Linked DNA regions of Neurospora crassa OR74A. Each later gene encodes a partner of the first gene's protein in a complex. Links are inferred from orthologs where the notes say so. Each region holds a gene or a part of one and is shown on either strand. Other genes may lie near its edges.

Region 1 (4,035 bases):
ATGCGTCACGGTAATCGTCTGACCCACGATCGCCAGCGATTCCAGTAGAGATCTGGTCCAACGGGGTCTCCTTCTTGATCATCGTTTGTCCGGATTCAACCTTTGAGCCCACCTGGGCCAGGCCATCGGCGTCGAGGATGGCGTGCTTAACAATGGGCTTGTCGTCTTCGTCCTTCATGATACCGCCAACCCTGTCGCGGCGCCCATTCGTATAGCCTTGCAATTCGGCGGTATACTTGCGGAACACTTGGCAGCGGCCGAATCCACGATCTAGAGAAGCCTTGTTCAGAACAAGCGCATCTTCGATATCGTAGCCAGAGTAAGACATGACAACGACGGTGGCGTTCTGTCCTGCCGGGAGCTTGTCGTAGTGGATAAGTTGAATCGTCTTCGTAATGACCATTGGTCGTTGGGGATAAACAAGGGTATAAAGAAGGGTATCGATTCTGTTGAACTGATTGTAGGCAATAGCACCAATGGCTTGTTTACCCATGGCGCACTGGTAAGTATTACGGGGAGACTGGTTGTGATGGGGAAAGGGAATTAGACCAGCGACTGCTCCGAGAATCGTGAACGGCTCAATTTCCATGTGCGTAGTGCTGTTGGTGATCTGATCCTCCTGAAGCGCCACAAGGGTATCGTTCTCTTCGTTGACATCGAGATACTCAACCACGCCGCTGGTCAGGAAAGTGTCGAATGTCGCTTGCCCGAGTTGAAGCATCTTCAGGTGCTCTGCCTTCAACATGGATTTGCCGTTCTTGACGATGATGTACGGGCGGCAAATACGTCCTTCATCGGTAGCGATATGAACCGCCGAGAAGTGCTCGTTGATGTGGATGCTCACAAAAGGAGAGACCCAGCCCCGGCGACGCAAAGTTCTGAACCTGGCGGCAAACCGCTTTGGCTCCCTGGTCACAGCAAATGGTGTACCGTTCAAATGGATGATATACGAGCCTTTGCTGTGCATCTCTGTTCCGGTGTATTCTCGGATCGGTCCCACGCTCTCATCAGCAGCAAAAATCATCTTCTTAACTGGTTCCTCCGGCACATTCGTGGTAATGTGTGTCATGAGTGCCAAATTCTTTACCAGACCACAGGCTTCACCTTCAGGTGTATCAGAGGTGCAGAGCATACCCCACTGTGAGGGCTGTAGGGCTCTTGGACCGGAAACCTTTCTTGTTTTTTCGAACTGTGAGCTGATACGCGTCATCATACCCAGCGCAGCGATATAACTGAGTCGGCTGAGCACGTGGGTGATACCGGCTCTGTTCATGTTGAAACGCTTGACCGTCCAGTTGCCGCTCTGAATGGCGCGGTTAAGACCGTGAGAGATATAATGGCCGTTAGCCATGATCGCACCATGGGGATCATACGTAGAGGTACGGTTGGGTTTCTTGAAAAAGTTGTCAATGTTGTACTTGACGTCTGAAATGAACTTTTTGAACAAGTCTTCAAATAGAAGGGAGATCAACTGTCCAGCCAATTCCAATCTCTTGTTGCCGACGAAATCTCTGTCATCGACGAGCTTGGGATTCTGAGCTGCCATCAGCACGCGGCGAACCATCATGGCAATGTAGACGGCCTTGGGATAGAAGTCGAGACCCTCAACAGTAACGTGCGCGATAACTAAGTTCGCAAGTGCGTCGAGACCTTCTTCAGCATGGTTTCTTCGAGGAGCGGCACCGAATTTGGGTCTGTTACCGCCCATCTTGACTCTAGCACCAACGTATTCCAACGCTTGTTGTTGTGTGTAGACACCAGCTCTTCCGGCTTCATCGAAGTTGATGAGGAAATCGTCCTGGTAGCGCGCATCGCCACCGCAAACCAGCTCGATGATGTCGTTGTCGGAAAGACCACCGAAGGCCTTGAGAACGATGACGATGGGAATGGGCTCGGAGAGGGTGTTGTGCTGCAGGACAATCCGGTCCTTCTTGAGTACGACGTAAGTCTTTGACTTTCTCTCGTGTGTGGAACTGGTAACCGAGGCCATGACTCCGCCGGTCTTCTCGTCGGCCTCGACAATGATACGGTTCTTGCTAAGCTGTTCCTGAATCAAGATGACCTTTTCGGTTCCGCCAATAACGAAGTAGCCACCAGGATCGAGAGGGCACTCGTTGAAGACCTCCATCTGGGCATTGGTGGCGCCGTTGAGGTAGCACTTTGCGCTCTTGAGCATGACGGGAATGCGGCATAGCGGGATGTTCTTGCGGACGATAACGTTCTTGTCGCGGGTGTAGGCGATGTCGACCTCGACGGGGGCGGCATAGGTGAGGTCGCGGAGACGGCACTCCATGGGGGTGACGGGGTTTCGAGACTGGACTTGTTCGCCATCTTCGGTGCGGGTGGGCATGCCGACGCGGATGTCTCTGAACTCGAGCCAAAAGTTGGGGTCCTGGTCGCTGCGGACGACGCGGTTGGCCCTAACGATGTCCTTGATTTCCTCGTTGACGAAGTAGTTGTACGAGTCGATGTGTTGCTTGACGAGGCCCTTGACCTTGAGGAAGGCCGGGACAAGATGGAACTTGTCCTGCGTGGTCGAGATGGGATCGGTCAGCTTCTTGCCATTGTAGAACGGCTCCAGCAGGGCCTCAAAGCCATCGTCGAGAGCCGCCATCCTTGCATGTGCTAACTGCGGGTGACGGTTCGTCGTATCGATCGGGCCGGAGGAATGGAGGATGGCGATGATGGGCGCGGAACGACCGGGAATGTGTGTTTGGTTGAGAAGATACGCCTTGCAGTTGTGTAGGTAGATTTCGATGTGATTTTTGGCCCCGCGGCAAATTGATAAGGATTAGTTGCGATAAACTTTTTCTACGGGCTGGCCGCTGCCATTTCTTGTTAGGTCAGTAGAGGTAAGCCGCGGCTGGGGCGGTGGGGGACGACGGGGCGGGAGTGGTCTGTGCTTGACTGTTAGTGTGTGTAGTGCACTACACTAGAGGTAGTGTTGTGGTGCGGTGACCGGTGACTGCTAGTGACTGCAGTGGTACCTAACTGGTATGCCGAGGCCAAAATTGTTAGCGCCCACGTTTTGGACCCCTGATTGACAGTTACATATACCTATGTAGGTTCCTTGTTCCACTTTTGGCCGTGCCCTCCACCTGTCGGGTACCTTTGAAACCTTTCCTTTTGCTTTGACTCCGGACCGTCACTTTGATGTTCGTGATAAGGAACCCCCGCCTCTGTGCAACTCCGACACATCTGCCTCCTGGTGGTAGGTTGTATTTACCTATCCAACTTCAACTAGCACAGCGATTTGAACAATTTGTAGCGGGGTCAGGCCAGCTAGGTAACCTCAAGATAGCTATGTATCCGTTCTGCTGAATCTAGCCGCGCCAAGCGGAAGCCGGGCCTTCGATCGACACACCAGTCAACAGGGGAGAGCTTCTGGTTATGAAATCACCTGCCGGGTCGTTCACTATTTCTCTCCTACCTGTTATCATGTTGATGGTCTTCTTCGGTCTTTGTTCGTTGATATGGCAGCCTTTGAATTGCTAATCGCATACAACGGAGGTTGATGTTATTCCCAAGTGCTGTGACCTGCTCAGGCTTCAAGAATCAGAGAAGGGTTATGCTTCTGGCTGACTATACAAACGTCAAAGAGTCGCATCACCGTTGGCCGTGTCTTACAGCATAGTGTAGGTAGGTACCCATCTTTTCCTAGGCCAGCTCCAGCAGGGTGCTACCTTGCTTGAATCGACCTGGAACCCAACCCAGCAGTGGGGCAAGATCCGAAAGAGGAGCAATTGAAAAAAAAAGGCGAGGAGATTTCACATCAAGGTTAAACACGGGGGCGCTGCACTTGTGCGTTCGCTTTCTCTACCATGGTCTCAATGAGCATTCAAGACATTCCATATCTCAGCGTCTACCATAGCTATCACCTGGCTATCGTACATTTGAGTGCTCAGAATGTAAATCGATCTTCTCTCTTGTACTGAATCTTCCACAGGGCAGAAGTGAGGGTTAGAGTGTCCAGCCTTGAACATTGACGGCTGTCTGCCTGTCACTCACTGTCTTGTGCCTTTTGTCACTATGGCT
Region 2 (3,172 bases), on another chromosome or scaffold:
CCACCCTTCTCATGATACACAGGCAGTGTGTATACTTTGAACATACCCTGGGGTTGCTCGTTTGCCTTGGGATCCGACCTTGAGGGCGGCGGTGGCGCGGCACCTAGCCTGGCAGGCAAGGGGATGAGCTCGACGACGCCGTCACAAAGAATTTCTATCCACCGGACCAGGCCTGAACTGCGAGGGAATAAGGACGTCGGGAAGGTAATGATTGCTGTGAGCTGGGTGCTGTACAGTCGAAGGAGAGCCCGGAGCCCATGTAGAAACTGTAGAACCTCTGATGGTTGGGCGCATCCAGGAGGATAGAGGGTTGGTGAGAGGAGACTGGGCACCACCAGTCTATGAATGGCGTTTGATCCTGAGCTCTCCAACTTGGCCCGCAATTGCTTGAGAAGCATCTTCAGAGGAGAAGCTGTCCCAACACTTTTCCGGTCTAAGCTCGGGGAACCGCCAACTGAAATCGGGTTCAGAGTACCCTTGGACTCGGAGCTGGCAAGCCTCTTGCTGAGATCAAAGGAGTGACAGAAAGGCGCTCCAGAATCCCCACGAGCAGAAGCTCCTGCATTGGCGTTGTTACCCAAGGACTCATATCTCCACGCAATCTTCATCTTCTCTTCGGGTGCCGGCGCCGGTGATGCACTCTTTGACTTCTTGTCAGGTGAAGCCAGCCCTGGAAGCTGATGCCTCCATTCTGGCGGAAAGGCTACTGCGTGAACCTGATGCCCTTGGACGAGACCCTCGGCAGCATAGTACCGTAGAAGAATTCCAGAGAAGTCGGTGGTCCCTTGCTCCTCAACCAGTAAGCATGTTCCTAAGGGGAGTCCACCGTGTCCTGCAAGAAGTTGGTCCAGGGAAGCAGTGCCAGTTGAAGTGGTCAACCTGCCATCAGTTGGTGATGGTCGAAGACCCGGCGCAAGCTGCGTTTCCTGTTTGGGTTGCTGCTGCTGGGGAGCGGACGGCGTGAGTCCGGCTCTCGGTGAGGATAGGACGGTGTTTCTTTTGACGAAGGACATAGTTCAGTCGGCAAGTTGCAGTCCTTATTTGAGTATCGAATCCAAACTTGATGATGTTGAGGTATGTATTCTTCAAGTCCAAATATAGTCGATTCGATCCCTGGAAGAAATTCCATGGAAGCTTGGACGTCACTGGAGTGCCTGAGAGCCCCGCTGTACTTTTGTCACACACTGGACGGGCGTGACAGGGATTTTCAATGGTGGTTGCCCCACTACTTGCCCCGGCATCCTGGTCCAATTGCCGCAAGGCTGGAATTTTTTGGGACGGCAACTGCATGGCGGCATCTCCATCGCTCAGTCGCATCTCCAAAAGTTTCCCCAAACACCATCATTACTACCGCTCGCGACAATTCGTTTTACCCACCTATCGACACGCGTTTGATACTCGACCAAAATCTGACACTAGTATCCTTCCGAGCAATCAATATCCAACATCGACTGTTTCATCGATTCCACACCAGCATTCACAATGTCCGCCCTCACGTCCGACGCCCAACTCTTCGAGGACGAGTTCAAGGTCGAGAGAATCAGCGATCCCAAGTACGACCGCGTCGACCGTCTGTACTGCACCTCCGTCGATGGCCAGACCAGCATGCAGCTCGATGTCAACAAGGAGCTCTTCCCTGTCAAGGTCGGCGAGTACCTTAGAATTGCATTGGCTACTTCCTTGTCCCTCGACGGTAGCAAGGACGACGAGAGGGGTTGGCGCGATGCTGCCAAGCTCGGTAGCGTTGAGCAGACCCTGGCCGACAGCTATGAGTATGTCTGCCATGGCAAGGTCTACAAGTTTGAGGATGGAAAGGATGGCCAGACCATGTAAGTTGTTGCCTGGGAATTGGGCAGGAGTATCTCGACCTTGGAATTCGGGGAAAATGAGTGGCTGACTGGTTCGGTTGCGAAATTTAGCAAGGCGTATATGTCCTACGGTGGTCTTCTGATGGCCCTCGATGGTCCCTACAAGAAGCTCACGCCCCTGCGTGTCGACTACGTCTACCTCCTCGCCAACAGGAACGCTTGAGAGCTGAAATTTCCGGAGAATAAAAAATTGAAAAAAAGCAAATGTTTCCAGCGGCTAAATAGCATCAGACCGATCAAGAGTCTAGGGCGCGAGCAACATTCATTGGATCTTTGGAGGGCGAACGGGCGTTTAAGGTTATGCGTGGACCAGAAAAGGCATATCCTAGGGAAAAGGGGTCTGGGGAAAGTAATGAATCAACGATACCCGGAAAGCAAGTACCTGTATTTATGCCGCTACCGAGCCAAGGGCTGTCCATCTGCCTTTGGAAGAGCTAGTGCCCTGCGGAAGGTGCTCGATGGATTCAGGCCTGATGAGGACCGGGAAAGGCGATGTGTCGATGAGCCCGGTCACGAAATGCGTCGTAATGCGGCTCGTTTTCAGGCGTGTAAATGCCGTGCCGAACGAAGAAATCGAGCATGACGACGGCACAGTTCGGCTTCCACATTCCCTGGGCGAGCTGTTTCTGGATCTCCTCCACTGTGCACAAGCTGAAGCTCTCGACCTCGCCGTCTTTTGGCTCGGGGACGACACTTCCATCCGCAGGTAGCTCTAGATCATAAATCCATTGGCATTCCGGGTAGATCAACCCCGCCTCGCCTCCCGCGCGCTCGTCCGTGATGTAGATATAAGTGATGGTGCAGACCTCTTTGGCGTTGTTCCTCACGATATGCTCGGACAGTGAAGCCTCTTCGTCCGCCTCACGGATGACGCATTCGAAGGGGTCTTCGTTGGTCATCAAGCCACCCGCTACCGCGTTGTCCAACATGCTCGGATAGGTCGATTTGGTCGCGGACCGCTTGGGAACCCAGATTCTCAAGTCATACTTGCTGCTGGCATCCTGACGTCTGATGAAGGCGTTCATATGCACGCCGTAGCGTGTGGTTCCAAAGAGGCCCATAGCTGCCCGCTCTATGCTGAACACGAGCTCCTTGTTGCGACCATAAACTGGCCACAGCTCGTTTCGCCAGCTCTTGAGGATGGCAAATGCCTCTTGTTCACGCCAAAGCGCAGTGAGCTTTCCGACAAGCCGAGTGCGTTCCTCGTAGGTTTTGTCCGGGGCATCACGGAAGAGCACTACAGTCCTATTAGAGACATCGATGTGCAACCCTAACTGTCCTTTGAGAGTTGCCGGGGCTTTGTT

What was found.
Region 2: NCU01772 (region 1) and NCU08030 share a complex: the UniProt entries of both Saccharomyces cerevisiae proteins name them as parts of the RNA polymerase III (Pol III) complex. The link is inferred for Neurospora crassa OR74A from reciprocal best matches to the Saccharomyces cerevisiae genes RET1 and RPB8.

What each region holds. Positions count from the first base shown.
Region 1 is NC_026502.1:2,490,040-2,494,074, reverse strand, and holds the start of NCU01772 (DNA-directed RNA polymerase III polypeptide), read right to left. Parts: upstream 2,801-4,035; 5' UTR 2,615-2,800; coding exon 1-2,614. UniProt on the Saccharomyces cerevisiae protein: DNA-dependent RNA polymerase catalyzes the transcription of DNA into RNA using the four ribonucleoside triphosphates as substrates. Second largest core component of RNA polymerase III which synthesizes small RNAs, such as 5S rRNA and tRNAs.
Region 2 is NC_026504.1:3,966,361-3,969,532, reverse strand, and holds NCU08030 (UDP-glucose 4-epimerase Gal10), read left to right. Parts: upstream 1-1,321; 5' UTR 1,322-1,482; coding exon 1,483-1,829; exon of another isoform or gene 1,830-1,919; coding exon 1,920-2,031; 3' UTR 2,032-2,332; downstream 2,333-3,172. Other genes in the region: NCU08031 (paxneb protein superfamily), read right to left, coding at 1-1,013; NCU08029 (thiamine pyrophosphokinase), read right to left, coding at 2,333-3,172. UniProt on the Saccharomyces cerevisiae protein: DNA-dependent RNA polymerases catalyze the transcription. of DNA into RNA using the four ribonucleoside triphosphates as substrates.